Drosophila melanogaster: one gene and its partners. The protein of the gene in region 2 interacts with the protein of the main gene of each other region in a pairwise test. Each region holds a gene or a part of one and is shown on either strand. Other genes may lie near its edges.

Evidence for each region.
Region 1: the proteins of SKIP (region 2) and CG9083 interact in a two-hybrid assay, tested with the Drosophila melanogaster proteins (one large-scale study listed by BioGRID).
Region 3: the proteins of SKIP (region 2) and Tsp interact in a two-hybrid assay, tested with the Drosophila melanogaster proteins (one large-scale study listed by BioGRID).
Region 4: the proteins of SKIP (region 2) and Tep4 interact in a two-hybrid assay, tested with the Drosophila melanogaster proteins (one large-scale study listed by BioGRID).

Annotation. Positions count from the first base shown.
Region 1 is NT_033778.4:24,894,561-24,901,142, forward strand, and holds CG9083 (uncharacterized protein), read left to right. Parts: upstream 1-3,712; 5' UTR 3,713-3,781; coding exon 3,782-3,799; exon of another isoform or gene 3,800-3,867; coding exon 3,868-4,803; 3' UTR 4,804-4,945; downstream 4,946-6,582. Other genes in the region: NaCP60E (Na channel protein 60E), read left to right, coding at 10-46, 6,284-6,495; Tpc2 (thiamine pyrophosphate carrier protein 2), read right to left, coding at 4,973-5,944.
Region 2 is NT_033777.3:22,130,104-22,137,942, forward strand, and holds the start of SKIP (shal K[+] channel interacting protein), read left to right. Parts: upstream 1-3,726; 5' UTR 3,727-4,348; intron 4,349-7,839. Other genes in the region: CG42390 (uncharacterized protein), read left to right, coding at 5-344, 403-489, 544-694, 763-1,072, 1,140-1,239, 1,468-1,650, 1,998-2,141, 2,552-2,987.
Region 3 is NT_033779.5:6,703,540-6,711,531, reverse strand, and holds the start of Tsp (thrombospondin), read left to right. Parts: upstream 1-2,445; 5' UTR 2,446-3,245; intron 3,246-7,992.
Region 4 is NT_033779.5:19,546,797-19,557,657, forward strand, and holds Tep4 (Thioester-containing protein 4), read left to right. Parts: upstream 1-2,896; 5' UTR 2,897-3,049; coding exon 3,050-3,132; intron 3,133-4,885; coding exon 4,886-5,617; intron 5,618-5,676; coding exon 5,677-6,103; intron 6,104-6,159; coding exon 6,160-6,497; intron 6,498-6,565; coding exon 6,566-7,119; intron 7,120-7,173; coding exon 7,174-9,296; intron 9,297-9,365; coding exon 9,366-9,605; 3' UTR 9,606-9,655; downstream 9,656-10,861. Other genes in the region: CG10337 (uncharacterized protein), read right to left, coding at 1-15.

The DNA of each region.
Region 1 (6,582 bases), on a different chromosome or scaffold from region 2:
TCAGTCAAGATGAGTGATGATCAAGCGACGTTCAACGATGAGAAAGGTGAGTCCCCTAACCGCTAAGCCCTCCTGATACTGCTATTGATAGTTTTCTAAGCCACCCGGCCTCATAAATATTATTCCCGATGTGACCAGGGGGGAGTTGGGTAACCGGGAGGCCATCAAATCTGTATGCGGGAGTATGCATGGTCAGGGGGCAGGTGTCACAGGGCAGGACTTCTGCTCCTTCTCCTTCCTCAATCAGGTCCTCCGACATCCTGACAGCGACACCTGCACGCCAACCAAAAGAAAGACGTGCACAGTGGTTCTGCACACACAGAAGTCTTTTGACTGGAGTTGCACGACTTCTTTCCATAGAGAGCAAGTTTGTTTTATTTTTTACAATTTTATTAATTTCTCGGCCTATTTAAGTTCACTTCTGCATATTTTTATCCCTGAAACCAACAATTGGCTTAAGAATAAACTAGCAGGTCAAGTTATGAGCTCAAAGATTGACATTCTTCAACAGCCACCCACAGTGCCATATAAAAGGCAGTTGGGGTGGGGGGACCAAAGGCATTTCCTTTTTGTGCGTGTTGAGCGTTTTCCTGCCACTTCCCGAACTCCTGTCCTGCTGTCCGGTCCTGCTCATCAACATAATTAAATAGCATTGCTCATTGTGTGCCGGTTGTGCCTTGGATACGGGGCATGTGCTTGGGTCTGGGGCACTTGGGTCCTGTGTCCTGGGTCTTGGCCAATAAAACGAAAATGGAATCGAACCAGCTTAATGGCGGGGCAGAGTGACCCTAAGGCCGTTTAAATAAATGATAAACAAATCGAAAATGGGAAGCGCTTTTGTCGGACCGAAAAGTTTCGGCTGATGACTGGCCATAAGTTACGCAATCGTTTTTGCAGGCGCCGATAGAGAGCGCCATTTGTCCTTACAGCAGGAGTGAGTGGGTGGGCCTTGGGTTGATAAGTGGGCGCAGGGCGCCATTGTCAGCGGAGTATATTCACTGGGGAGGTGAACAATGCACAAAGGCCAGCAGGCGCTGCCATCTGCGGATTACGAATATGAACGGAAACGGAAACTAATTAAATATGTAGAGCAATTGTTGCTGCATCTCGCTTTATCCTACCGATTCACTTTTTCACTTTTGTTTGTCCCGCATCACTGCAGCCAGTGTTTCGGTTTCTCCTTCGGCTCGGCTTGGGCTGGGGCTTGGACCGACCACCTTCCTTTCCGCCTTGCCAGTCTCGAATTGGATTTGGTTTTTGGCCAGGGCCAGGAAGCAGTCGAGAGCAAGCGCCCCAACTGCGAGGGGCGTAATTGCCCTACCCCCTAAGCCTCCGCTCCGAGTCCAAATCCCAATCCCATTTCAATTTCCATTCCCATTCCCGTCACCATTGAACTTGCTCAAAGGTCTGCGCAGCTGCAACTGCAACAGAGGCAGCAATGCCAGTTGCAACTGCAACAATGGCTGCACTTTAAACAACAAACTTTGAAAGTTAAACCAGGAAATCCGAAGCAAAGCATGCAGTACATAAGGAGTATCAAGAGAGCACCATAATATAGCAGAAAATCGAATTGACTTTTTCAAGACTTTCCCCACAATTCTAAAACTGTTGCCCACAATCTCGTGAATCACTTGTAGCACACCTTTTTCTCTCTGTGTGTGGATGCAACTGGTTTTTTGGGAAAACCACGACATTGCACGTCGCTAGTTGCTTTTAGTTTCTGTATCGGTGTGCAATTTCCTTTTTGTTTTTGGGCGCTTTGAGAATGACTTTGCTTCCGCGTGAAGATGCGACGGCAGGTCTGGAGTTTCGAGTCGCGAGCCCGGGTCGATTATGCAATATGGGGAAGATGTGCGTCTTCGTTGCATCTGATGTTAATGTGCGACCGCCAACCGGTTGCCCATCGTCATTGCCGTCATCGCCGGGGCAGCAGAAGCAGCTTCATCATCGTGAGCGTGGCCCTCTCTAGCTGAAGATGTAATCCCCATTGAAAGATGCTCTGATGGCACTGGAGTGCAGCCCATTTGCTCCAGCTCAGCGGCTTCCAGTTCGAACTTCATTCGGCACAGCATCGTGATTATGACCGGCGATGTGGCTTTATTGGCAACAGATTATTGCGTCGGTGTCCCGCTTGCTGCTCCCAGCTAGTTCCTTATGTAAGCCCGCTTTGTTTACAATCCGAAACAGTTTAAATGTATATTAATTATTCGGCAGTGATGGAATCTGCCGAGCGAGCAGTCAGCTGCCTAGCTCCGTAGCTGCCAGATGAGAAATGATAATCAGCGACGTAATCGAAATGGCCGGATGGCCCCGATTCGCTGGCTCGGCCCAAGTCACTCACTGCTAATGAAAACAGTGGCTAATCAACGGCGAAAGCATGGCGGCGGGGGTTGTTGGGGCGTCCAGATTGGTGGGTGGGTGAGTTGGAGGTGTTGGGTGGCCAGTGGCCATGACCTCTCTCCGCTGCCAGTCGGACATCTTGCTGATGTAAGCGCGAACAAAACCCACGGCGCGTTGCCTTTTGCCCATGTTGCAGCGCGGGGGCATGACAAGATATTTTTGATGTTGCTGCAGGCGAGGCTTAACCCAATAGCGCTCGAGAGCCTCTCGCCAAACGGCGACCTGACCTGGCCCAATCCAAAGAACAGTAACTGGCTCCTTCCCTGCCTCACAGCCGCGGCACCACTGCTTCGCGTTGGTAAACAAAATTATATTGATAATTTCCGGCACTGGTACGGCCATCAATGGGTTAATGACTAGCGACAGTGAGCAGCCAGCGGGCAGCAGCCAACCCGGCCAACCCTTGGCCAATCGTTATGCAAGTCTGGACCAACAATAAGGAATTGCCAATAGGAAGTTCGTCGTATCTACATAAAAATCCATAAACATGAACGTCAACAAAATACCTAACGGTTAACAACCAGCATCGGCGATGTGATAAAGTAGCAATAGCAACGAGCTCTGGGCCAAAACTGGAACTGGTCAAGTTGCATATTACCACAGTTTGAGTTTCGGTTTTAGCTATTTTCGGCCGCCAGCCCACGAAGCTTAGGGCCACTCAGATTTTCTCTCGAAAGAAAGTAGAGCACAGAAGCGAATGCTCCTCGAGAGAGTGTGTTAGTGCACTGGGAGAATCCGTGTATTACAATTACAAAATAAAAGTCTTAGATTTAGAAAAACATTTTTATGCAGTATCCAAGCTGCTTTCGTAAAATATGATTTTCTTACGTAAATATAGCAAAAGGAATTTAAGATATCTTTTAGCGATCTTAAATTGGTCTACGAAACCGGTTTTGTTTATCATGTAAAATATTGAAAATGGAAAACCAAAGATGATTGATACACTTAAGTTGGCATCACACCATGGGATTTAAAATAATTTTGAGTCACAGACCCTTTTTTACGTTATCCGTGTGGTATTGCAATTGGGCACATGCTGGGGATGATGATGTGAAAGGTCAACACTCTCGCGATCTTCAGAAAGGGAGAGTGAAGACTGGATGGCCGAGAAGAAGACGAAGACGAAGACGCGGCCAGTTGGCCTTCAATGGGTCGCGGTCGTGAAGTCTCCAGTGGTCTGGCTCCACTTCATTCAGCTCGTCGTCGGCGAAAGAGATTATCTCTGCACTTGCTCAGCGGCAAGCGATCGCTTATATAACCGCATGGCTCCCGAGTGGAGAAGAGGGCTATAAAACGGCGTGTGCCCATGTTTGCCGAATCATTTCCAGTCGGTCCAGAGGCGAGCAATCATTCGAGAGTCCTTCGTAACGAATCCAGAGAAATGGCAGCCCGTTTCATAGTGAGTTTGGCACGACACCACGTCAGTTCAGGTGGATCCTAACACAGATTCCCTCCTCCCACTCCCAGATCAGTGCGCTTCTGCTGGCTAGCCCAGCGGTATGGGGAAAGCCCACCTTCGGACGAGAGCATGTCCACATCCGTATTCACCTGCCAGAGAGCGGTGGGGATCACGGCGGCCACGGAGGCGGTGATTTTGGCGGCCACGGAGGCGGTGATTTTGGCGGCCATGGAGGTGGAGGCTATGAGATTCACTCCCACGATGGCGGATACAGCGGCGGTGGAGGAGGCGGTGGTCATGTGAACACCTATGCTGTTATCACCGAGAACCACGGATACAGTTCCGGGGGTGGCGGAGGCGGTGGAGGTGGCCACGGATACAGCTCCGGCGGATATAGTTCCGGTCATGATGATGCCAAGATTGCTGCCATCGCTGCTGCTGCTGGCTCGTCCTCCGATCACGGACATGGCGGACATGGAGGCAGCGGCGGACACGGCGGAGGTTATGGTGGCCATGCCATCGCCAACATTGCAGCCATCGCCGCCAGCTCAGACTCCTCTGATCATGGTGGCAGCGGAGGATACGGCGGCTACAGCGGTGGCGGTCACAGCGGAGGAGGTCATGACACCCAGGTGATTGTGGCTGCTGCTGCGGCTGGAGATTCACATGGCTCTTCCGGCGGATACGGCGGCGGATCCTCCGGTGGATACAGTGGTGGCTCCTCCGGGGGCTACGATGGTGGATATTCTGGTGGATCCTCTTACAGCGGAGCCTCCTCCTACAGCAGCGGCTCGTCCTACAGCTCTGGAGGATACAGCAGTGGACATGGCGGTGGCTATAGCAGTGGCGGCGGATCCAGCTATGATACACAAGTGGTGGCTGCAGCCGCTGCTTCAGGCAGCGGTGGCTCCTACGGCGGGTCTTCCGGCGGCGGTGGCGACGGATACAGCTACTCAGCGCCGGCCTCAGGCGGCTGGGCAGGATCCAGTTCAAACTGGAAGTAGACGGCAATGTCCGTCGTTGGCCATCTGGTCGTCTAGTCTACTGTTCACGTTTAACTTATATTTGACATGTTCGCTCATCCATATTCCACACATTCTCCCAAGATACTGGTGTACAAAATAAACCATGTTAGTGTAATAATTTAAGCCAGCCGCCCAGTATGTGATTTACCTAATGCTTGCCCAGTTTTTGCCGATTTTTCTCCGCCTCTTTCATCGGAGCTATATAGTGGCGCTTAAACATGTCATAGATGGAGAAGTACACGGCACTCATCAGTCCTGCCTTGAGTAGAGTAGGCAACATTCCCTTATAGAAGCCTCCGATTCCTTCCTCCCGAAACGTGGTGGTGATGCAGCCCAGGATCGTAGGGCACTCGGGGTTGCGACCAAAGGTCTTACGTTCCTGTTTGAAGGCCATCAGCTGGATGCGCTTTTTAAGCAGGTCCGCCGGGTACACGATCATCTTGGCCAACACCCCTGACAGCGCCCCATTGAGAAACAGAAATGCGCCGTGGATTTCCTGGCGCTGGTCGGGAGGCTTGGCCATCAAGACAGCCGCGTTGAGGTACTTGTAGAAGAGAAAGTTTGCCCCTACCAGCGGAAACACCTGCACAAGCGTGAAGGGTAGTCCTCGGGAAAGTCCCATCCACCCCTCCATCTTATAGACCTTTCGAAGTCCGGTAAAAGTGTTCATCTGACTGCGGCGCGAGGAGGGGTCTGCGGCCACCATCTGTGTTCTTACCACGTCGAACGGCTGGGCGGCCACGGCTCCCAGACATCCGGCTATGCCGCCGCAGATGAAAAACATGAGAAAGGGTCGCTCCCTCCAGTAGTCAAACTGGTGGGCCATGGAGCGAAGCTGTTCGTAGGACCAGAACTGTACCAGAGCGTACGAAATGCTCAGAACCTGGCCGGAGTTGTGACCACGGAACATACCGCGCATTCCCTCCTCGGCGTACACCGACTTGAAAGCGTGGATGACTCCACGGTATTTGGACCCCTTATGGTTTGTCACCGGCTCCACTTGCATCTGGAATCGGATCTTCAGAACGTCCAGCGGCTGGGTTATGGTCCGCGTCGCAGCTCCGGCGATTCCGCCGCCGACGGCCTGCATTAACTGGACTACCACCGAGTTTTCGGGCATCGGATGTGGCGACGAGCAGTGGACGGATTCACTCACGGCAGGAGTTATTCACTGTACAGATGAGGACGAAGTGGTGTGTTGTCATTCCGCAAGCTAAATTTCCTGCTACTGTATAAGAAAGTGGCTAGGCTTTTATTAAGCTCTGGCCAATTACACAGTATTTTCCAATTTAATATTTAGTCGAAATTTTAAAATACACAATAATTTCTCTGACAAGAATGTAAAAGCTTAAAATTTTTAAGGTGTCTACGTACTTTAGTTGGGGTCTGCATGTGAATGTACATACATTTCTATGCTTGTGTTGGTTGTCGCATTATTAATCCCTTCGATCTCTTTCAGCTGTCGCCAAGCACCAGGTTGTCGCGTACACGCAGAGGTCGCAGGTTAAGCACGAGAACCGGCACATCCAGCTGGTGCGGGAGTACGGCTTCCACCCGCGCACTAAGGCCTCCGTGGAGGACGGCGACGTGCTGCCCCGCAAATTCGAGCCCTTTCCGGAGCACATGTACGGAAAGCCGCTGGAGGAGATTGACACCTTCATTTACGAGGAGGTGAGTACTGCCGCGTTCAACATTCCCTCATTATCCGCGGCCTCGCCTCACTTGGCCGCCCATTGGCTCTAATTAAAAAGTCACAGG
Region 2 (7,839 bases):
ATAGAGCGCGAGGAAACTTTGATGACGGACTGCGAGTGGCAACTGCGGCAGATGCAGCGGCAGTGCAAGGACAAGACGGACAAGTCCAACTACGAGCGAAAGCAGGCGACCGCCAAGGCGGAGGAGCTGGAACTGGAGTTGCAGTCCCGCCGTAGGGAGTCCGAGATGCTGCGCACCTGCCAGGCGCAGGTGAATTCGCTGAGGGGCGTGGTCAGCGAACAGGAGCAGTCCATCCAGACGCTAATGGATCGCATCGAGAACCTGAAGGGAGATCTACAGTCGGCCAATGAAAACCTCGAGGCCCAGATCGAGGCGGTGCACAAGATCAAGTATCAGTGTGATAAGTGCGTATAATTGGGAATTATCCATGGAATTTGATTGTAATGATTATATTTTTTACAGTGCCATCTATGATAAGGAACGCCAAATGATCTACAAAATCGATGAGGTGCGAAATGAGGCAGCCGCCTTCTGGGAAAACAAACTTTAGTAAGTCACAAGTCATCATATTGAGTGCTCCAAATTGAACTTTTATGCCTTCAGCACAGAGATGACAAGACTGACAAATGAACTGGAGTCCGTGTATGTGGACGAGCGTCGCGAGGCGTTGGACAAACTGCAGAACGAGCACATCGAGGAGCTGAGGGCCCTGACCAACAGATACACGGCCAACGAGGAGGAACTGCGATCTGAGGTGGGTTCATAGTGTTATAGATAAACTGCAATCGAATGCATATTTGCATTTTATAAACCATCATTTAGATTGACGATCTGCACGAGAGCCTGGAGCAAAAGAAACAGGATTTCCTCAGCCTGCGCGAACGTTCGGATAACGCCCTGCTTCAGACCCGAATGCATTTGGATAAGGCCGATCGCGAGTACCAGAATGCCATGTGCCGCGAGGAGGATCGCCGTGTCGAGCTGGAGGAACGACTCCAGAAGGAGTTCGAGGCGGAGAAGGCCGAAATGGAGGAGAAGTTCCGCGAACGTCTCGGTCAAGTTAAGGAGGAGTTTGCCAAGGAACTGCAGCTCTCCACTCAGGAAATGGTCGAATCACATCGAAAGGAGCTGGGTAAAGATACATGTGTATATTGATTATTATTATATATAATTATATAATTGATTATATCAATCGGCAGACTCACAAAAGGCCAAGTTGCAGGCGGAGAAGGAGGAGGCGTTGCAGGAACTTGTGGAGCGACATCGCGCAAAAATGGCCGCTGCCGATGAACGAATCAAGTGAGTGAATGCAATGTGGCATGCCCCGCCCCATGGGCATACTTACCTTAATAGTGCCCCCTGACCGCTGCTCCCCACTAAATTGAAGCAGGATCCATTGGCTTGCATTGAATGTCTGCATCCTACTCATTTGCCACATTTGTCACATTGGAGTCCTTGAACTCGATCCATTATCACATGAACTTGTATTCTGTTCTCTTTCGTTTCACATTTCATTCATTGGATCAGCATGGATCAGCGTTTAGGTCGATCGACAGCCTCTCCAGCCCTGTGGGCGTTTGCAAAGGGGGCGTGGCCGTATATGCCCACACTATATGTGCTATATCTGACCATGTCGCCGCTGATCGCCATTGCATGCTTGGTGTTCAATATTGTCGCAGTGATCTATATCAAATATCGCCACCTCCTAGCGCGCCAATAAAATATTAATCCCCCTTTTCACGCTTAAAATGATTCTTGATTTAAATTTAAGACTGGCCATCATCGAAAATCTCTTGTTAGACATAAGACATTGGTATTGAAATGTTTGAAATGCGAACAAAACCCATAAGAAAAAAAATATGTTTTTATCTGGCATGCAGCTTGTCAAACGTTGTCCTTCTGGTGCGATTCTCCTAATATTTTACTTTCTCTTTCTCGCTATGTGTGTGTATCCACCTCAACCTCTGACCACTCTATATAACCTGAATAACCCCAACCCGAATCCGAATCTGCATCCGTATCCGCGTACGCATTCGTATCCGCATCCGCAACCGCAGCGATGTAGAACTTCGGCACCAGCGCAATCTCAAGGACCTGAAGGCGGCCTACGATGCCGAGAAGGCGGCGCTGGACAAGCGCGACATCAGCAACGCCAACGAGATCGAGCAGCTGCATCGCAAGTGCCGCTGCCTGACCAATCTGTAAGTGCACCCATTCCCCAAAAACCACCAGCCACCCTGACCCATCTTCCCCAAGGTCGAGTTCCTAAGTCTAAGGAAAGTTAATTAAAAGATTGAGTGTGATTGAGACCACAGATCTATGGAATTATGATTCGAAACTTTCGAATTTTGCTAAAATATAAGATTCTTATCTTTATATAATTTTGAAAAATAAAAAAATAAAATCGGAAAGGAAAGGGATTTAAGAGCTCGACCTTTTAACTCTTTTTATCTTTAACACAAATTTATCTTACTTTTGCTTGTCCGTGTTGTGGGATGTTGTACGCCAAGTCAGTATCCAGCATCCGCCTTGAATTCACCATTATCCTTTTTGGTAGTTTAGTAGTGAATATAGTAAATATTTAAGGAATTTTGCAATCCTTTTTGCGCAGATTTGAGGAGATGCGCATGCGATACGAAAGACGAGATCCTCGAGCCGAGGATCTGCGTGAGATAACCGAATTGAGGACACGATGCGAGAGTCAGGAGCGGGATTTGTATGTGCTCACCGATCGCCTGCGGGAAATGCAGATTCAAATGTCCGAGATGCAACAAAATGGTGACCGCAAAGGCGGTGGAAAAGCGGTAAAGAAGCCGCCGCCCAAATCAATAGCCACCAGCTGTGACGTCATATACGAGGAAAACGAGGAGCGAGAATCGCCCGACAAGGAAAATGGTGAGAACTCCTCCCAGGGGGACGAGGACGATGAAGCGGATGAGGAGGTCGAGCAGGAACCCAGCGACACCGAGTCCAATCACACGATCGAGGTCAATGGAAAGTCGGATCGAATCAACGAGGATGACGCCCATCTCATCACCGCCGTGTGAGCGGTCAAAACTTTCTATATACATAGATCTTCCAATTTTGTGGCTGTATTCTTCGAGATCCCCAGGAGTGGATGTTCCAGGACCAAGGATGTGTGTGTGATCCCGGGTGCTTTTGGTGCTTCATGTGCTGCCCTCTGTATCGCTGGATACGGAAATCGAACCACTCAATCAAATCGCTCAAAGCTTGAACTCATAAAAATTGTAAATTAAATTTCTGAATTGGTTTCTGAAACCGCCAAAAACAAAAAGAAACGAAATAAATGTAAATATTTTTAATAATACTGATATTTATACAGTTTACTATTTTTTTATTTATTGCTTAGACTTAACAGCTGTTAGCTTAACAGTTATCTTGGCACTGTAAATGCGAGAGAATTTAATTTTCAAGAGAGACGCATGCGCATCAATTGTACTAAATGAACTAAATTCGCCCAATTAGTACGTATTTCAAATATAAGAATGCAATTGTGGCGCGGCTAAATTTAAATGATCTACGGGCAAGAAAACGGTAAACAATAATTGTACTTTTCTAATTATGAAATATAAATAGAAACAAACAATTTATTGAATTTTTGTGCACTTCTTTTAATATAAGAAACGTAAGTTCGAAACCCTTCGAACTCGAACTAAATCGGTTGCATCGAACCAAGAGAGTGACCGTTCGCGAGCTCGGCTGTGATGCTAAAAATGCCAGATGGAGCAAGCAACATATACGAATATATACGAACGCATTTATCGCCGCGCGGTCAGTCGTCGAAATGTTCGAGATCCGGTCGTTTTGAAAACCAGCTCGAGCGGTCTATTCGCGTGAAATTGAAACTGAAAAAGCCGGTAAAACTGAAGCAAGTGTGTTGTGATTGAGAATTGAGCGAAACGAAAACGGTGGCCAAACGAGCCGTTTAATAAGCAAACAGGCTGGCCAATAACCAATTACCATCAGCCATGCCATCAAGGAATCGTGATAACGCAGACACAACCGGCAGCAATTTGTTAATTTGAAACGTCGTGTGTGTTCCTCTACGAAAAAAAAAACCCAGTTATTTAGCAAGCATTTAAATTGCATTTGTAGCATAGCACTTTAGTTGCGCGTAGGAGGAACAGCAAGGTCGTTGGGGTCGAATGTGAATGTTTGTGATGCAAGTGACAAAATCAAAATTGGAGTAAATTGGTAGCCATTCCTGTGAGCATTTTCGCGTCGCGTAACGGTAAATCATTGCGCCCTGCGTGTCTTCGTGTGCGTGCGTGTTTGAGTGTACGTTTTTCGGTTTTGTTTTCATCTCCTCCTTGCCATCCTCCTTTCTTCCACCTTCAATTGCCATCTCCTAATTTCCTCTACGAACGGAGAAACACGAAAACGAAAAGTAAGTGCCGCTACTTCTATTCCTCCTATATGTGTTATTGTAAAAGATTTGCAGCCATGTGTGCCTGTGTGTGCTTTTGTGTGTGTGAGGGAGATTTCGTGAGTGCGATAGTGTGTGTGTGCAGCCTCCACCAAGCGCCGCATTTAAAGGATATTCCTAATCCGTTTTATTGATTGCAGGGCAGAAAGGAGCGGCGAAAAAACAGCAACAACAACAACTACACAGCTGGAGTGCTCAAACTGTGTGTGTGCCTGTGTTTAGTTCTTGTTCTCGGCAATCTGTGCCGCTTTTTTTTATGTTTTTATTCCCTTCCCATTTCCACTCTATCCTCATCCTCCGGGGTTGCTGTTGTTGTTGTTGTCGGTGATTTAGTAGTGCCTGCTGTTTTCGTTTCATCTCTGTCTCCCTCTTATTTCCCTCTAATTCTGACTCTTGGCCGGCTTTTTGTTGTTGCTGCCCACAGATTTCCTGACAAATGTTAATTATTTATGCAACACTTCCTCTCTGCATTTTGTTATACAATTGTCCATTTTTCACTCATTTGGTTTAAATTGTATAAACACTTCCTTAATGTCTTGAAAACTTCCTTTTTGAGATAGAATGACTCATAAAGTCACATATTTCACTTAAAAAGTGCGTATCTTCTTTCGAATTGAAAGTTCTTGTGCAAAATTACAACACGCATTTAACCCACTGATATAAATTCTTTAATTGAAAATTATGCAGAATCACATAATATGAAATATTCAAAGACATATTGAAAGTTCGACATAATGATTTATCGAACTCAATTAATTTCTGTCTCGAGCAATAATTAAACGTCAATTAAAAAAACATTGATTACTTGTGTGCTTTCAACATTTTGAGACTTGAAATGTTTTTTAAACACCTGTCGTGGCCGTGTCCAAATAAAACCCTAAACTGCCGACTTTAGACACCGAAGAGGATTGTCATTTAAAATCACACAACCACACCTTCTTTTACCTTGTCTCTTATTTTTTTTGTGCCTGCTTGTTTGGGTAGCTTATCTGTGCTTATAATACGTGTACATTTTCGCTGCGTTCCATATCTCGGTGAATAACTTCATCAGAAAATTAAGCGAAATATGCCTGGCACCTGCCCCCGTGGGCATAACTCAATAATCACATCAAATGTCGCCACTGGACTTGCAGTGCCGTGCTCCCTACGCCTTCCCCCTCCAGATGCCCACTTCCTGGAGCAGCGGTCGCAACACCTCCTTAAGAGGTGTGTCCACTGGTCTCCCTGGTCTCGCTGGTCTCCTCTCAACTCCCAGATCTTGGCTGCCCAGCCTTACCAGCTCTCCCCAGCTAATGCCGCACAGCTGCGCGCCATTTAAGTCGCTGACAAGTGTTTTGCCGGCATCTCCGGAATGCGACGGATACGGTGGCGAGGTGGAGAGCCGAGAAAGAATCGCCTGCTTCCATGGTTCCTGCTGCCACAGAAGCCGCAGCAAAAAGTGGCAGCCAACATTGCTACCAATTATGCGATAAGCGAGAGGAGCACTCTTCACAGCTCCACAGACTCACAGCTGATGCTATTTCACCTTTACAATTGTGAGAAAACTTTAGGCAAATATAGTGTGGGTTAGTAAATTAGTTGCGATTCAACTTTTGCGATATTTCCGACTGGAGTTTTGATGCTCTAAAAGCCACTTTAATGGTCTCCATTTAAGCATTTAGTTGTGGGCAAACAACACTTAATTGTACATCTACAAAATGTGCACTTATACTCCGAGTAATTGGTCAAAACAAAATTTACATAAAAGCATAGTTGTCTCGATGATTTTGCACTATTATTAAGAGCCATTAAAAATTTGCTTGAAATTTATACAATTATGATTGCAAAAATTGTAGAAAATTCATGGAATTTTTCATACTTTTGAAATACATTCTAGTTGTTTTACATTAAATCCGGGGCACCACTTAAACAATCCAAAGAAAGCAAAAGTCGCATCGATGTTTACACTTCCCACACTTTTTCAATTAAAATCCATTTTTTTTCGCACTTTGCCAGCAAGTTCGTGCAACTTGCAGGCGAACAACGTGTTAACATGGCCAAAAGCGGTGGGAGACTCGGGCTAATGAAGTGATTAGACTGCGATTTCGCCGATGTTGTTCCCTTTAAGAGTACGAAAAAAGCATAATAATAATGGAAAGGAAAAAAAAAAGAAAAAATGAAATTGGTTGGGGAAAACTAACAAAAGGCCGCGTGCGCAGCCATCAAACGAAACGAAAAGCGTGCAACTGCAACAAAAACACCGGCAAGAACAAGAGCAGAGGAATGACCTTATATTGCAACTGCAAGTCAAACAAAGGGCCGCTAATGGGTGGCATTGAGGGGGCACCTCGCCTCGCAGGGCAGGAAGGTGTAATCCCGGCCGAGGACCGAGGACCGAGCAGTGAGAACCGGTCGATGCCCATTGCCCAGTGCCCAGTGCCCATCGGAGTCCGCTCTCCGAACGGAGCGGCTACTGCGGGGCAATTGGGCCAAAAGCATAAAAATCAGTCAAGAGTCGCCTTCGCCAACTCCGTTCAGCATTAAAAGCGACAAACAAACAAACAGAACGGACACTGAGCCAAAAAAAAGGTGCATCCCCATAAAGATAATCACAGATATAAAGTGGATTTATGGTACTGATAGGCCTATATGTGTATCTTAATAGTTGAGTTGTAAAACAAGAATGGGAAACAAAATAAATCTTAAACGGAAAAGTGGATGAAATTTATAAAATTATCTTTAAAAAAGCTATTCCTTTTTTTTTTTTTGATAGTTTAAATGTGGAATTAAATTTAAATCCTTTTATACGTTTAAGTTCTTAAAGTCATAGAACGAACTTTTTAAAGGTATAACCCTTGGTATTTCTTGCTGTGGACAAACAGGAGTGCAACTCCCCTACTGGGAATGAAAATGGGAGTGGGACTGTCGACTGGCGGACTGAAGGCTGGGGAATACGAATGGCACTGTGACTGGGCAACGTACTCGAAATCGCACTCGCAGTGGAGCTGGATCTGGATCTGGACCTGAAACCTGGACACTCGCATCCAAAAGGCCGCCCGTGCGAGCGCAGGCAGCGCTAAAATCGATTTTCTCGCAAACTTGGCCAGGACGGGCAGCCGCAGGCCAACAACTACTCGCTGTCCTCGGCCCTTAGTGCTCTGCCCTGCTCCACATTGCCCCATTCCCATTCCCGTTGCCATTCCCAATCCCATTTCCAATCCCAGTCCGCCTGCTCCTGCTCCAGAGCCTCCTGTTATTCTGGCTGTAATGGATATGGTCGAGGCGCGCGCGGTTTTCGTACCCGAGATCCTCGTGGATTATGCGGATATACTGCGTTTGACCATCAAAATGTAATGGTCAAAAGGAACAACTTTTATTTGCTCAAGCTTTAAGCGAAATAAAGGAGTTTTTAGATTTTTACAATTTATAAAAAGAAGATGGACATGTTATTGTTAAATACTATTTGTATAAAT
Region 3 (7,992 bases), on a different chromosome or scaffold from region 2:
TAAATCGTTTTCAAGTCCACGAACGCCAAAGCAGCAAAGATATAAATTTCGATTTCTAAAACGCTTTGTATTGAACCATCAAAATGCTTGGTAGGCAAAGCTATCGCCTAGGAAATACGATTAAGATGTAATGCCGCTTACTGTTAGATATACTCTAGTTAGTCGGATTATTGCTTAATTTAAAATAATTTATTCATAACAAATAATTATAAACGAAATTGAATAAATGGATCTTGAAAATTATAGAAAACATGCTGAGTTTTGTTTGCGAAGAGCCCGCAATGCCGGTTTATTTTTTTGTTGTTAACTTGGCGTTAATCACTAGTTTTATGGCTTAAGCCCTCCACGTTAATTATACACTCACCGACGGGCCCTTAAATATTTATTCAATATTTTTGAATTGATATGCGAGCAAACCAGTTTTACTTCCCCGATAAGCTGGTGAATTGACCTTTAACTACTTTTAATTATATTGTATTGGCCCAAAAAAAAAGGGGCTGAGTTGGAAATTAAGTGATAAGCACTTGCTTTTAGTTTGTAGGGTGAATGGAGAGCTATGGTAACACCTTTAGGTAAATATTTGCACTTAGATATGCATATTTATCAACTGCCATTAAACACTCTCCTTTGAATCATTAAGCCGGAAGCTTGACCAACTTCACTCCAATCAAACCATGTCTTGCCAACTCCCACACTATTTCCAGGTGCAAGGCATCTGGCCTGGTCGGCATCAGTGGCCAAAGCCACGTAACCCAATTAACCGGCGAAGTCGTAAAATGACAATATTTCCTAGAGCAATTGAAGGCTGATGATAATCCCAAACCCCCCTAAGAGTGTTAGAAAGTAGCTCACTTTCGTTACACTGCACAACAAAGTCACGTTCGCTGAGGAAAAAAAAACACTCCAGAAAGCGCTGCACACGAAGAGCAGGAAGAATGCGTGTAATCGAATCTTGAAGACCGAAAAATAAACATGTTAATAATACAATTTTATGATTAATACGCACTGAACTGCAGTGCGAGGTGGTGGGGTAAAGGTGGGGCATTTCGGAGGAGATCAGACTTGATGTTGCTGTTGCGGCGTCGAAAAGTGCGTGGGACGTCTTAGCTCGTAACCACTGAAGATGCTGGGAACAACTCGAGGAGGATTCGGACGAGGAGTGTGTGGAATGGGGCGTGGGGCCAGCGAGGCTTATTTATAAATCACGCACATAATGAAATTTCAGCAAGTGGTCGCCGCTGTCCGAAAAGCGGCAAAATATGCAGCGTTGATGTGGGATAGCATCTCGGGTGTGTCCGCAGCACCGCAACTCCGTGATAAATGCACATCTGCATAATGCCCTCCTCCAACTGTCCGCTGACATGCCGGCGACATAATGACGAACAGGTCGGGCCATTCATTCAACTTCCCTTTCCCTTGGATCCCGATGCTACTGTCGTGTTACGCATCAGTCCCGTGTCAACGGCAAATAGGAGTGGAGGGAGTTCCGAAATGGGGGACACTTGTACTGCATAAGTAGCCATTAATAGGTGCCATATGCATATCATTTTGGGCTCTGGTTTTAACGAGTAGTTCGTCTGTTTTGAATGCCTGCAGAGCGTGCCGTTTATTTACGATCTCCATTTCAAAAGAGCAAAAGTCTGGCCCCATCCACCGAGTTCCTTTGGATTTGGAGGTGGTGGTCGAAAACAAGGATGGACGCATTATCGGAAAAGGGTTCGCACGAATCCGATTTAATGGCCTTAAACGGGCCTACAATGTAAGCATGTTTCGGGATTGAGTTTCAGTTTAATGGCCCAAACGATCTACAATTGGGGCAGCCCAAGTGGGCGACTCCACCATAATAATTGGTGGATAAACTAATGAACTGAAGACAATAAGTAATTACCCATAAATATAATCACAGAGAGCGACTTTTAACCAAAATATTTATTCTTACAAATTACACAGCAGTTTTAAACAATATATTACATAATTGCAACTTAAAGCGCACAAACGAAAACTGCGCTGATCGTTACAGAATATTTAAAATAACATTTTCTATATAGAAAATAAATTTTAAATTTCCTATATTTTAAAGAAGATTACCCATTATAAAATTTTATTTTTTACTAAGGAAGCGGAAGATATGAGATCTGAAAGTTGACTACCACTTTTTCCACTCACTTCCTCAATTATTCAGCAGCGATCTGGCCACACTGTCGATGTTTACGCAAATTTTGCACGTGGGCGTCGCGGCTTACTCACGCGTCAAATCAAAAGAAACACAAACGAAGACAAAATGCCGCGTTTCTCCCAAGAGCAACAACAACAGCTGAGAACAAAACAGAAACGCAGAAAGGCAACAACAAGTTGTCGCTGCTCCAAGTTGCTCCAGCCAACAGCGCTGCCGCTGCCTCAGTCGACGCTGCGCGTCGATCATTCCCTTTGCATTTTCAAATTTTCAGTTTCAGTTCGCGTTGGAACGTTGAACAAGACGGTGCGTGTCCTAGGTGCTTCGATAAGTGATCAGTGATTAGTTTTGGCGATAAATCAGTAGCATCAATCGATCGAACTATCGCGAGAATGTTTCAGTTTTCAAACGCTTCCTAAGTGTGCTTTTGAAATCAGCCCGCGCTGTACAAAGTTTTTTGCCCATATTTTTAAATCCGATCGATCCTCAAGCAGCATCCTCTGCATCCAAGGTGTCCAAGATCGCGTCGCGTTCGCCTTAATAGCATAAAAGTGTTTTAATTTTTATTGGCACGAACGGGCGAGTCAGTTGCGGAGCAGTTGTCGTTGCTGGAGGATTGTAGGCATTGGCGTCGCGTGTTCTCCACCGCGATTCCATAAAATCGACTCCACGAAATCTTCGCGTGTGTCCCCATTCCAAAATCCAGCTTTTCTACCTGGCGCGTATTTCGAAAAGGGTTTAAATGGTCTAATGCATCCGTTTCGTTATCGATTCTTTTAGTGTGAAGATACCCTTGCGACGTGTTTGATCTTTCGCTCTGCAAAAGTACAACATAATAAAAGTGTCTGTGCGGGCGTCCAGGAAAAAGCGGCGGAAAAGTGTGGCAATACTCGTAAAAATAACTCAGGTCGTTTCCATTCTAAATTGCGCGTTGACAGCCGCAAGTGGCGCAAACGAGCCGCACAAACAACAAGGAGCTGTCAGTTCCGTCCCGCCAAGTGGATCACTTGGATCACATCCACATCCGCAGTGGGGGCACCTCTAGAGCAAGAGCAGCGTCCTTGACCACGAGGTGAGTGTGAAGGTGGGCCAGACCTCCGGGCTTCTACATATGCTGCTTATTCGTGTGGCCAAAATCTGGGCTACACTCCGCTCACTCGGAAAATGAGTGCGCCAAGTGGCCAGGTGCGAAGTGCATTCCATATTCAAGTGCCTGGAAGGTACTAGAGCATATTAAGTTGTTCTTAAAGAAGTTGCGTTAATAATGATGCATCATCTCATTTTTAACATATTCTCAGGATCGTAAAGATAAACGAAAGATATACGGAAGTAATCACGACTTGGGTCTATGTTTATTAATATCATTCATTTAGAAAGTTATTAATAGCTAAATGCTAATTTCTTGTTTTCAATCTTAACAGACTGTAGACTAAAGAATCGCATCTTCTAGCTGCACACCCACAGCAGTTTAACTCCTTTTCATTCGACTTTATTGCATGATAATCACCAAGTTGTTGATAGGCCAATCTATGAATATTTTTTATGAGCGCCTCACAAGATTTCTATTCATTTCACCGCCATTTTATATCTGATGATAAATCAAGCTAATTGTTGTTGTAATTCAAATACTATCGATACATATTAATTAGCCACACCCAAGTCAACCGCAATCTGGCGGCAAAATCGGCCTGTGGCATCCTCACCATTCGAGCGACATTAATCTATGGGGGATCTGGGGAGATCTTATCTGCATTGGCGCCATAAATACCGCAGTCGAGTCATAATTTATTAATTACCGGACTTTCCACACGTATTTAAAGCAGATCAGATTGAGGTTTATGCCTTTGCGAGAACTATAATTATGTGGATCATATAAGGTCAGAGCACAGAATATTTTCCCCTCCAACAAATATGAATTGTGATTCGAAACGGCAGCCACAGATTGCTAATGATGTTGACCAAATGAAGCTGGTCACATTCCCCAACAACGGTTAAAATACTTAATTTTATTTGGCTCGATTTCCCAATCACTTTGCAGCTTCTACTGGGCTCTGCTACTCAATTCCAAGCGATTCAATTAAAAGACGCCCACTGCAAAGATCCCCATAACAATTTATAACTGCCTGTTCGAGAGACATTTCAGACTTGCGGTTATTTTATTATTTGAATATATTATTTAGCGGCAGTGGCGTTGTGACCCGAAGGGGTATTAATCTTGAAGATGTAGTAACCAATAGTTGGGAGATACTTTTAGCTAGGCCTATGACTTCGTTGTATCGATGTATCTATACAATAGATAGATACTTTCCCTTCAATAGAGCGGACAAATAAGATCGATCTGTTCAGTTTTGCAATGAGATGTGACAGAAATTCACTGAATAATTATTCAAATATGGAGCTTGGTGTTTTCTTATTCTCTGTCCAAACATTGACACCCCTTGGCGCTCCACACAGAGATGACTCTTCAGACATGGTAATATCTTGCTGGCCATATTTGGAGCTCGAGTTTGACATTATTAAAACATAAATAATATTGCCATTGTTAGTTATGGAATTTCCGCTTGGCAGCGAGTTATGAGTTCATAAACAAATGCAAATTAAGTGGAAAATTGTTGCACCAGCAAATTAGCGCATCGTCAGTGGAAAGTCATTTGGACACCAATATCCGAACCTTCTGCGGCAAATCAGGCTAACAAATTTTAATGCTTTGTATTGACTTCAGTCGGAATTTGCAATTCAAATGGAGCAAAGTCACAATAGCAGCTAAGGCTATTTGTGTTGGCCGTTTGGACTGCGGGCTTCAAAACCAATTCAAGTCGAATGGAGACGCGACTTTGCCTTAATGGTTCATCAACATAAGTTAATGGGTTTTCGGTTTTGGCCTAATGACAGATTAAACACATTCTCAAGCGATTTGACAAGATTGCCAACGAAAATTGCGCCGAAATGTATACTTTTATCCGGGCAAGAATAGTAGCATCTATCACGCATATTATTTTCCTTAGATATTTTGCGAAGATATGCAAATTATTTAAAGACGACCACTGATAGCAAGGTGCGGTCCAACAAACACCTGGTAAAAATAAACATTTAATTATATAGCCGCTGTATAAATTTAATTGATGGCAATATAATACGATTTGAGACAGTTTCTAGCTGCTGGCTATGCTTACATCAAAAAGTAGTCATCATGCATGTTTAGCTCAACGCAAGATTAAAGATTCAAGATTACAGAGATTATAATAATACCATTCTTACGGGTCTTTAAATTGTGATTTATGCGTTTTTACACCTACAATTTCAATCATTTTTATGTACTCTGCTGTTGCGATTGAGCAACTTGGCAGGTGGCAATTACCATACCAGAAATCTCAATCACCCGACTTATAATTGACAGACCTTTCAATATTTTGAAATAGGACTCCATATAACACCTGAAAAGCCACATTTTCAGCTGTCAACTACTGCATTTTTGTCGAATATAAATAGTCAAAAATTGAATGGGAAAACGACGACAAAAAGACCGGGCCTAAATTCAAATCGATACAAATACAGAAATCAATAAAATGACGACGTCAAGTGCCGTCCGAGACTATTGAACTCCACATTGAATCCAATCCTAATCTTGACACTTCCAAAACAACGTTCAAAAAAATGCTTGGACTGCGCCGGAAGTTACACAAAGTCCATTATGATGAAACCAATTTATCAGGCTGCTCGAAATCAATTCAGTTCACCTCGCTCTATTTGGTTGCCTCCAATTATAATAGGCTGACTGCTTGAAATTAAACAAAGCCTGAAGAAAGTTAACTGCAAATGAAAATCCGCCGAAGAATTTCCCTAAGTGGCTTAACAGCGCGATTGCGCTCTTTCTCCCGATTTTTCACTCTCGTGCTGCGTAGGCGCCGGCATAGATTTTTTTTTTCCATGTCAAACCAGCGACTGACAGCAGGTTTGCCAGCCTCAGTGAGCGCTTGGAGCTCCAACAACTCACAGCTCCAACTCACAGCCCCACAAACTCGCAGCGAAGTTTTTGGCTGAGCATTTAAGCCCGGCTGATTTGATTTCAGTGACACGACGCCCGCGGCGGCAGCGAAACTTGTCCTGCCCACACGCGACTGCGCAGAAGCGCGGTTTTAACCGCTGCCAACTCGCGTCGCGCATGCGCAGTAGCCGCGCCAGCGTTTTCCTTCTTGCTTCAGTTTTTGCGCCGTTTTAAACGCCCGGGGGGACGTGGACGTGGACACCACCGGTACCAGCGGTTGCATGCTGGCGCGATCGAAAAAAAAGAGTCAAAATATTTGAATTTCTAATGCCGCACGAGGGCAGACTTAGGAGTGTAACATAAATCATCGAAAAGCTATCGAATTTTGGTACTCATCTTATAAGAACTACAAGCAAATAGTTCAATATCTTTCGAATTGTTTTTTAATATATTCTAGGTATTTTATAGAACAGTTCAACCACTTAACTAACCACTAGGATTGTCATAATAGTTCTTTACCATTAGCATTAATTATCTCTCAGGCTAATCATAATATTATTGTAGGCCCCTAAGCTCCCAAAGCAGAAGTATGTATGTATGGGATTAGTAGCTATAAAAACATTTACCACATCAAAGTGGCACTTGGATAAATGCATCTCCCATCCCTCTGCGGTGTAGATCATACCCTTCGATCGACCCTCGCTGCCAACTGGCTACCCAGGGTTCTGGTTTCCCTTTCGCCTGCCTCTCTTCTGGCCAGCCGTTTAATCTGATGAAATGACTTTTCCGATAAGCATCAAATTTCCTTTGATGATCGACCAGAAACGCCTTTGTCACTGCAATGACAGTGACGCCAAACTTGTTCAATCGGCTTGGAATCAGTGGAGGAGGGGTCCAAACCCGGCCAGTGGGTGAAGATGATGATCTGGATAGCATCCAACCCTTCTCAGTTGCGGTTTTGGTTGCCGATTGATCGGCTTGCGGCTTCCGTGTGCATTTGCTTTTGCTTAATTAAATGTCAATCAATGTACTCGTCGCTTTATGGAGACGGACTTTGATTCTGATTTCTGATTTTGTCCGCTTTAATAATCATGTAGATGTGGCGTCGTCTTCACCATGCTGACGATGGCCTCTTTGGCGTCTCCATGGCGGGATTTTGTTTTTTGGGGCCTCAACTTGATGAGTGCGTGGGTGCTGGACAAAGATATATGCCTGGTCTAGGCATGATCTATACCAAACCGATGGCATTAAAAAGTATTTAATAAATTTCAGGCCTGAGGATTATGTATGCGTTTAGGTGTACACTCGAAGGTGTTTCCACCGCTGGTTTCGGTTTTTCTTTATGCTTGCGGCGGATTACTCGGTTGACATTTGGTGGGAAATGTTCTGGTAGCCGGAGGCCAACTTAACTGAGTATTAATAAACGTTTCAATGAACACTTGGCACAGATCTCGGGCATTATGCTTGGGTTAAGTTCTTGATAACCTTTCAGGGAATTTGAAATGGCTGAATAACTCGGACGACTTAAGACTTTAGAATGTATGGGGATCTCTTTCTCATAAGATGGGAATATATTAAAACATTGGTTACATATTCTGAATTTTATGTTTAATCTACCGTAGATAAATTCAATTTTCAATTGAAAATAGATTTATTTACCAGTTTATTGGTTCAGATACTTAAGATTCCACTGATAGATGATTGAAAAGTGCGACTTTCGATATGGTAAGAGTATGTAGGATTCATTCCACTTTATTCTTTTTATTGATTCAACTTCCTTATGGCGCCCACTACAAAGCCTAGTACTACTCGGCTGTCCATCTTAATCCGCATA
Region 4 (10,861 bases), on a different chromosome or scaffold from region 2:
TTCGGCAGTTGTCATTATGCTGAGGATGTCTTAGCTGTGCGAAAATCACTTATCTGCTACGTGAGATGCGCACGTAGAACCGATAAGACGAATCCAAGTATTTGGGCACCATAAACCGAAACCGAAGATCGCGACTGCTCGTGGCGGTTGTTAGAACGCTTTTGAGAGTCTGACGGCATGGAACAGCTGGAAAAAGCCATCGAAAGCTCCGCCAGCGTTATCCGAAAAATCAAACTTTCAAAGCCAGTGGAGCGCGGCGTTTGCAAAAAGTGACTCAGCGGATCGACCCGTTCACGTGTTTTTCACCTTGGGGCGGGAAAGGCGGCAGCGGCCACAGGTGGCAGCGATTGGCATTGCTCTCCAGCTGGACGACATGCGATTATCGGTATTTTTGGAGCAATCTAAAACCGGATTGGATAATTGACCGGCGTTAATCATGGTGAATACACCATGAGTGATTCCCAAAAACAGAGTCAAGGGTGTTGCCATTTCCTAATTAAAGATCAAATTAAGTAATAACAAATCTAACCGAATGTTGAATAATCTCTCTATTTCAAGTTCTGCGTTTAGAATATATATTTACGTAGACTGAACTACGTTAAATTGTGCTTTTTAGGTCCACCCTAAATAGTTGATTTCGATGATCGATGTTGTGAAATTGCTAGCAAAAGCAAATGCGAGACGAATAAACAGCAAAAGGAGAAACAAATAGAAAGATAAGAAGCGAACAATATGATTGGGAATATCCCACAATAACACTTTCCTACAGCGCATTTGTACTAATACAAAATATACGGTTAAATAAATTTTCATACTTATCCGACTACAAAAATAATATCTATTAAATTGGTCATTTTTTTGAGGTAGCGTTATGAGATTTGAAGGAGAGGATTAGCAGAGTTTGAGTAGCTCTACATATGTACCATAGATAGTTCTGTGGATTCATTTCTATTTTCATTTACTTTAGTGATTAACCGAAGAGATAGACATAATCGCGACACATGTCCATGTATGCCTTACTATCTCATATTTATGTATGTAGATGCCAGTTTTTCGGCTCTCCAAACTTAAAATATACCGACTAGGAATTTGGAATAATAAAACATTTTGTTCAGCTTTGCGAACTTTCAATATTATTACGTATACAGTTCACAAAAAAAGGTTCAAGATTCAATTATTCCTGCCTGCATATACATATGATGTATTAGCTTTACAATAGCTTTAAAAAATAGTTTTTTCATAAAAATATTTGTATATTCAGTTAGTTATTATGAGCGTATTTTGCAGGCAGTATACTTTCTGGGTGAAAGCCAAGGAAGATTACTTGTTACAAGCAAATTAATTCACCATACATCACCACAATTTAATTAATCATGAAATTACAGCGTTTTAAAGCTAATTCCTTTCCTAGATTGCAGCGTATTCATATCACCCAATATCACTACTTATAGATTACACGGAACCGAACCGCACGAGAGAAAGAACAAACGGGGAATCACCAAGAGAAACGCAGTTGAGCGAATATCTCTTATATATTGGCATTACTCATCGCTACATTATATACCCGTTTCATTTGCAAGGCAGTGTGAAATACAGCCAAGTGACGTCATCATTCGGCAAATCAAGAGAGCGACATCTAACAAAACAACAACAGCTGACTCAGAGAGAGCAGGAAAGAGTTTTCGATATATATGTACACAACGCCTAGTCAGTTGGTCTCCGTATTTCGATTTAGGAGGCAGTTCCGTTAACACTGCAAATCAACAAGTCCAAATAATATTGCACGCACGTCATTTGCCACACGACAAAAACATAAATATTTGTATTCAATTCATATATTGGGATTTTACGCGAGATCTTCGCAAAAAATCATTTGGGCTTTTCCAAAAACCAGATAATGTACGTAAATTATTTAAAAGGAAAATCTATATTTCAAATCATTGCGAAACACGAAGCGACAGTTATTGGTGACAATTAAAGTGTTAATTATCGAAAAACCCCACACGAAATATGAATAAGTTGTTATAATTTGACTATTGCATGACGATAGTTCTGTGACAAATAACTGAAATATCACTCATGGGCAATCAGTAATACCAACTTTCTGTTCTTCTATACAGTCACGCCTATTTGTTCGCCCTTTATTCGTAATATTCATATAATATATTCATTTCTAAAAATGGTGAAATTCGAAACATTAATTTTTTGCAATTTTTTAGCAGTAAATCCCTATTTCCCATTTATTAGTCCAATTATGATTGAAACTGGCCCGAGTGAATACTCGAATCAATATTTGAAAATATGATGAAAATAGAAACATTCATCTTTGGTGTTTTTGAACAGTAAATTCCCATAAATCCATCCTGTATTGTATTCTTTTGAACAGTATGTTCCCCTAACTTCCTTCTAAAATCAAATTACGAATGATTTTTAAGCTGAAATTGGTCCAAGTGAATACTCACAAATGTAATATTTGTAAATATGATAATTAGAAATAATCATCTTTGATCCCTTTGACCAGTAAATTCCCATAAATTCCTTCTTAAATCAAATTACGAATGATATTTCAGCGGCAACTAGCCCAAGTGAATACTCACGAATGAATATTGATATTGGAGTGCCGGCGTTTTTTGTGGCCATGTTATTATTGTTAAGGTTTTGTTTGCCCAACTCGCGTCATCGATTTCAGTGGGCGCACCACATACACCGCCACACACACACACACACACACACACACCACAACAACACACACTCTGCCAGTTTTATTTACTTATAATTTTTATCAGTTTTTTTTTTTACGACTTGCTCGCCCCACTGGAGCTCGGCTTCGTCTGCCGGGCCTGGGGTTTTAGAGTCGCTCGGTATTATAACAAATCCGTGGGCCATCGAACCGAACCAGTCCCAGCTCGGCTCTGATCCCAGTCGGTCGCAGTCGCTCAGTCGCTAACCAAACTTCCGCCAGCATCGATCCCGCGCATTATAGCCTTATAATATCTGTGCTCTTATTTCCCATCCTTTTTGCCCTCATTTGACCACCAATCCAATCAAAATGCGTCGCGCAGACGCTTTTGCTGTCTCGCTTTGTGTGATTTTGGCCTTGCTGCAGACGATGGAACCGGTAAAAGCCGAGGGGTAAGTCCATATACCACAAATACTATACTATATGATCGGATCGATTTTAAAACACATCTACGGTTAGAGTATTAGTAGAGTCGGGTTAGGAATTCGCAAAAATATAGGCGATAATCAAAGCCAGATATCTAAAACTATAGTTCTTTACAAAGCTGGCCTATAAAACGTATTGTTCTTACTTCGGTTATTCGGTTGATAATTTGAATAAAAACTGATGGCTAAAAATTTTAACCATTTCCCTAATACGCTAGTGGTTGGATTCCCGTCTCACTCGAACACTTAAACACAGATTACTGCAATCCAAACTATATTATCTATGTTTATTACTTATTACCACTATTATATTCACAGTCACTGTATGGCTGTCGTCGAATATTTCAATTAATTAGGTATGCATATATGTATACAGATAGGGCCGTTTTTAATGAACATCAAGGTAATTAAGCTGTTATTTATACGCAAAATCACCTATTAGCTTAATTGTTTATACCATCTGGTTTGTCCTTGGATTTATAGGAGAGTTTTTTTACGGTTTTTACAAATCACTAACCTAATAACATTTTGCTCTACATTTTTCAAATAGTAATTTAACTTTTAGATATATAATTATGTATATAGCAAATGTTAAACATCGTTCCTTATCACACCTATAAGATTAAACACTAGACTTCTGTCCACGTAGTGACGATGAGCACCTAAAAGGGTGAATTTGGGGAAATTCAATAAAATTGAAAATCTGGTACGATAGTCCGATCACAACTATTCACTCACTTCAAAAATATTCAGAATTTCTTTTTTAAAGAGGTTTAGTTACTCCGAACTAATATCTGGTATTTAATTTTTGAGTTGAAGGTGCCATCGCCACTTTAATCTCACCTTGTTGAGGGGTGTTTTATTTTCTTCATTTTTGTTGAGCTCAACTTATGATGCTAATTGAGTTTCACTGTAAGCCATTTTGAATATGGATTTTTATATTTTTTACTCAAACAAGAGGATCACGTCACATACTTTGTTTGCCTCAATGGTTTCGCTGATCAATCTTTCACACGATCTTAAATCTGTACTTTTTCCTGTCCCGCCAATTATTAGTAATTAGAAACGAATATGAAGGTGGGTTATGGAACACACTTAAAAATGTCATAAACTTGAAGTCTAACATAAAAGGCTGGAACAAATCTAATCCAAAAAAGTTAATGATGTTCAGGCTAACAATATTGGTGTACGTGATCGGGGACTGTAAGTGCGAGAAAGATTGCTAATCGCAAAAGCTGGAATTATGTAATCTCTAAGCCGGTTTCATACTTTTCAGTAGAAGATCAGGTTCTGGGAATATTATCCGTTATATATATATATACATATATATTTCATCATTTGCTGTCACAGATCAAAAAAACCATAACTCAAAAACCTAAACCGAATCTTAGACTGCCTTTTAAAGATTGGGAACATTATCAAGTCGAGGTTAATGGTTTTAAGTTTCATTTCTGTGTTTCCCTAGAGATTAGACAATATACATTTATTTTTGAATTCTTAGAGCATGGTCAAGAATTTGATATTGATAATTTGAATATTGATAGCTATAGTTACTATCAAGAAATACAATACTATATATTATACAAATACAATACTACAAATATTTCCAAGTGGATATGTGTATGTTTTTTTCTCTTCTTGGAATTTTTTATGGCCGAATTGTTATTTGATTTTATTTTGTTTTTCATGACAATAATGTTGATGTTTTCTTTGCTTCCAGCAAGTACACCATTGTGGGTCCCGGAACCATCCACTCCCACCGTGACTACAATGTGGCCGTGGCTGTCCATCAGACCAAGGAGCCAGTCACCCTGAAAGTGGGCATCACTGGACCCTCCTACAACAAAACTGAGACCGTGGAACTAGCCACTGCCGGTGAGTTCAAGCAGATCACCTTCAAACTGCCCCCATTGGAGGCGGGTGAATATAATCTGACGGCGGAGGGCGTCAAGGGACTGGAGTTCAAGAACTCCACCAAGCTGAACTGGGAGAATTTCAAGCCATACATTAAAATCCAGACCGATAAGGGAAAGTACAAGCCCGGTGATACTATCAACTATCGTGTGATCTTCCTGGACGAGAACCTGCGGCCGGATACCGCTAAGGATGAAGTGGTGGTTTGGTTTGAGGACTCCAAAAGGAACCGCATCAAGCAGGAGAAACACATAAAGACCACCGGTGGCGTCTACACTGGCAAATTCGAGCTCTCCGAGTTCGCCACATTGGGCTCCTGGTCCCTTCATGTTCAGAATGGAGATCAGCACCACGACGGAGGTATTTACTTTGGGGGTCGTAAACAATTTGGAGGATTTGGTCATCGCTGGCATCGCTCGGATGAGCTCGTCAACTTTGAGGTGGAGAAGTACGTGCTGCCCAAGTACTCCGTCAAAATGGATGCCACGCAGCAGGTTTCAGTGCGAGATGGCGAGTTCAATGTCGTCCTGAAGGCCAAGTAAGTATTACCGGAAGTTTTATGCTTTAGGACATTCTTATATCAGCATTATCCCCCAGCTACACCTATGGTAAGCCCGTGAATGGTAAAGTTCTTGTCAATGTCCATCTGGACTCGACGAGCAGTTGGGAGAATGTGGACGGCAAGACAGTGCAAACGGACTACCCCGGACATTCTGTTGTTGGCACCGCCGACATGGTCGGAGGCAAGGCCAAGTTGACCATGGATCTCAAGGACTTCGCCAGTTATCTGCCGCACAAGACCTCTTCTTCATATGCCCAGATTACGGCTACCGTGGAGGAAGACTTCACCGGCGTGAAGCTCAATGAAACAGGCGGTGTGCAGCTGTACCCCTATCGGTATGAGATGTCCTGCACTGACTACTCCAGTTGCTTCTCCTTCAAGCCCGACAAGGAACATGAACTTAACTTCAAGATTACATATGTCGACGGCTCACTAATTACAGACACCAAGTCTGTTGTGAAGGTGGGTTAGAAATCTTAAGAGATCTGTCACTACTTATAAATTCGTTTTAACTCTAGGCCAAGTTCACTGAAGGAATTCGACGCAATTATGCTTTCTATGCCTTTGGAACAGATCATCAAGAACCGGAATTGCCAACGATTGAGAAGAAAACGTTTGTGTTTGAAAGCCATTTGAATGCGTCTGGTGTGGCGCCTTTCAAGGTGGTTCTTCCCGATTTGCCGGATATCGCCAACTTTACTCGTTACTATAGCATTGAGCTGGAGTTCGTCGATGAAAAACGAGATCTGTACACCACTTATCCCTACAGGGAACCAAAACAGATTGAAAATCCTAGCTCTGAAGAGGAAAAGGAGTGGTTCAGGGCAGAAGTTCAGAGGCCCAAGGACGTCTGGAAGTGAGTACAGTTGAGTTGAGCAAGGGTTCCACGATTTTAAATAACCATATACAATACTTCTATTGCAGCCTCAAGATCGGGCAGGAGTATCAAGTAATCCTCAACTCCAGTCGTCCGCTCAAATACTTTGTGTACAACATTGTGGGACGTGGAAACATATTGGAAACGAAACGTGTGGACCTCGCGGAACCCCAAACGACCGTCAACGTAACCATTAAGCCCACTTTCCTCACTACTCCCTATGGTCGGGTGTACTTCTACTACGTGGATGAGACAGGAGAGTTCCGATATACCGAGGAAACATTCAGTGTGGAGGTCGAGCTGCAGAACCAGATCGAAATCAAGGCTCCCGCGGAAGTTAAACCGGGTGCCGACGTTGCACTGGAGATCAAGACGTCGCCAAAGTCATTCGTTGGATTGTTGGCCGTCGATCAGAGTGTCCTTCTGCTGGGCAGCAACAACGATTTGAACAAGGAATCCTTCAACTGGCGCCTAAATGGCTATGACACCTCAACTCCCTGGCAGGGTGGATACTCCTACTACCCCGGAGAGCGAACTGGAGTCGTGACTATGACCAATGCCTATTTCTTCTATAATCGCACCGCCCCAGACTACAATATTCGTACGTATAAATTTGTCATAATAATAAACCACATTAATTTGCAATTATTGGAAGTTACAGAAGGATTTGGTGGAAGCTCTTTCGCCATGAGAAAGACTACAGTGGCACATGATAGTCATGTATTCCATTCCGGTGCTGGCGGACCAACTCAGGCCGTGGGATTCTCCGCCGAAAGTGCGTCTGCATCTGCAGCACCAGTAGTGCGAAAGAATTTCGCAGAGACCTGGATCTTTGCCGATATCGAGAGCACCGAGGAGGAGGTGTTCAAGTGGGTAAAGACCATACCCGATACGATCACCAACTGGGTGGTCACCGGCTTTTCACTGCATCCCCAGAAGGGATTAGGTGTCACCAATGATCAGACAAATATCAAGACATTCCAGCCGTTCTTTGTCTCCGTTCGATTGCCATACTCCGTGAAGCGAGGTGAGGTGATCAATGTACCGGCACTGGTCTTTAACTACCTGCCCAAGACACTGGACGTGGAACTGACCCTGGACAACGAGGATCAAGAGTATGACTTCGTGGATGCCTCGAATGAGGTTATTGGTGACCAGAAGCGTACGCAGAACATCAGAGTGGGCGCCAACGAAGCGGCAGGAGCCTCATTTTTGATCCGACCCAAGGTCATTGGAAATATTTTGCTGAAATTCAAGGCCATCTCACCGCTGGCCGGAGATGCTATACACAAGCCGCTAAAGGTAGTGCCCGAAGGAATTACCCAGTACCAGAACAGGGCATTCTTTATCAATCTTAAGGATACGGGTGAGTTTAAGAACACCTTCGAGCTGGAAGTGCCGGAGGATGTGGTCCCCGACTCCGAGCGTGTGGAATTCGGATTGGTGGGTGATCTCTTGGGACCAGTGGTCAAGAACCTTGAGAACCTGTTGCGATTGCCCAGCGGTTGCGGTGAGCAGACCATGTCCAAATTGGTGCCCAACTATCTGGTGAGGGATTATCTGAAGAGCATCAAGAAACTCACACCTGCATTGGACACTCGCATCAAGAGGAATCTGCAGGACGGATACCAACATATGTTGCACTATCGCCACGACGACGGCAGCTTCAGTTCCTTTGGGCCCACCAAATGGAGGCAGGAGGATCCAGTGCGCAATGGTTCCACCTGGCTGACGGCCTATGTGCTGCGCTCGTTTAGCAAGATCAAGGATATAATTGACTTGGATGAGCAGATCCTGGCCAAGGGCTACGAATTCCTGTTAACTCGACAGGCAGAAAATGGTAGCTTCACGGAACACGGAGAGTATTTCTATAGCTCCCAGCGATCTCTATTGACATTGACCGCAAATTCCTTGCTCGCCCTGCTGGAGGAGGAGAAACCGAACCAGGCTGCCATTGACAAGGCGGTTGCCTATCTGAGCGCCAATACTGCCGAGTCCATTGAGCTCCTGCCCAAATCCATTGCCATTTATGCCCTGCAAAAGGCCAAGGCGCCGGAAGCTGCCAAGCAGGTGGCCAGTCTTAAGTCCCTGGCCAAACACGAGGACGATCGCACCTGGTGGACCGAGGATCTGGATAAGCTGCGTGCCTCCAAGAACTGCGGACGCTGGTGGTGTTGGATCTGGAGTCAGGATGTGGAGATCACATCATATGCGCTGCTTTCCCTTCTGGATTCAGACCAGGAGACAGCCGACTCTGTTCTGAACACCGTTCGCTGGTTGATCGCCCAGCGTAATGGCTTCGGAGGATTTGCCTCCAGCCAGGACACGGTTGTCGGCCTCACCGCCCTCATTAAGTTCGCTGAGAAGTCGGGCTACGAGGCGGCCAAGTGGGAGGTGACCGTTTCCAACAAGGGAAAGCGTGAAAAGACCGAGAAGCTCAACACATCGGAGGAAAATGACCTGCTCCTCCAGACAGTCGAGTTCCCACAGGGCACCAAGTCGCTGGAGTTTGAAGCCAAGGGAACTGGAGCTGCTATGGTCCAGATAAGCTACCAATACAACTTGGTGGAGAAGGAGCCGAAGCCGAGCTTTAAGATTCAGACCACCGTTTTGCCGGAATCGTCGCCAGCCAATTTGGAACTAAGCGTCTGCGTGGACTACGTGGAGGAGGGCGAGTCCAAGGAATCCAACATGGCCATTCTGGAGGTATCCCTGCCGTCTGGTTATACTGCTGATGAGGATAGCTTCGCCGACATCCGGAACATCGAACGTGTGCGGGTAAGTTTCAGAATCCTTAATACCTGTACACTTTTCTCTTCAATTACCTATAAATTATTCGCTTTGCAGTTGGTGGAAACCAAGAACGGTGACTCCGTGGTGGTCATATACTTCGAGAATCTGGCCAAGAACGAAGAAAAATGCATTCGCATAGAGGCGTACAGAACACATGCGGTGGCCAACCAGAAGCCATCATCGGTGGTCCTCTACGATTACTATGACACGAACAAGAAGGCCACCGAATACTACTCCATCAAGTCGAAGCTCTGCGACATTTGCGAGGGTGACGACTGCAAGAGCAAGTGCTAGAGTATCCAAACCAAAAGGAATCATTAATACTTTCTATCCTTACTTAAAATAAAATTGTGATTATAATGTATATACAAAATGTCTCTTTTACTGCTTTGGGTTACATAAGAGTTATAGCGTAGTGACGAAACGCATCAGTCAGTGTGCTAATGTCCAAATCTTAATGTAGAAACAGTTTATAAGGACCATAAACCAATTGATTGTTTTATCGTAATTAGTTTTCAGTTAGGGAGTTCTTCAACTAACAAGTAAAGGAAGGGACTTTCAGATTCTGAGTTCTGGGATACAAAGAATCAATTTGGATTGCACTTATTTATGGAGCTCGAGAAAATGGGAATGCTTCTGAGCATCAAGCTAGTTGACGAATAAAAAGCCATTAGGTGATCAAACATTGATTAAGAGAACCCCTAAATTAAAAATGATTGTTAAGCGCTTATTCACTTATTATTCAGCTTGGTTAAATCTTACTAAAACTTAGATGGAGGAGATCTTCATTGTTAAATGGGACACTGGGTGAAAGTCTGTGCAACAGATTAGTTGTTTTACCGTAATCGAAAAGAATTTACTTGAAGTCACTTGGAGTCGCAACGGAGTTGCAACATCGAGATAGGCGAGACAGCCTGCAAAAATCTATTATGATCCTCATCGAAACCAAAAGTTGCATAAGCAGATAAATGTAACCAAATTTGTATTGCAAATAGAGGTTAAAACAAGGTAAGTGGCTGCACAAGAAATGGGTTATAAATTTCAAAACTCTTTCAATTCTTCCCGAGGAACGTGTTTGAAAATCAAGACAGAATTACAAATCGATTCGAGACAAAAACTAAGATGTTTACCTCGCTGGACTCGCACAGTAAAAGCCAGTGGAGTTTTGGCCAAATTCCAGACAAACTTTACGATTAATCTGACTGACAAGGATATCCCCCAAATGGAATCAATATTGACTGCAAAAGTAATAGCAACTGTAGAAGATAACCTCACCGGTCAAATGGTCACTGGGAATGGAATAGTGTTTTTAGTTCCCAATCAGTGTATTATTATTATATTCAAAACTTGGACGAATCTTTCGTCAACGATACTGATTCGGAACATTATGGCAAATATAACTTGGATGGTTTCGCCTATAGACAACAAACAGTTTTGAGTCTTACAGCTTTAGTAAAATCTAATGATAAAGCCAAGTATAGGGCGGCAAATTATGATGTGACTGCTTCAAGGTCGGGCAAACTAAATAAGAACTCATTGCTATTCAAATC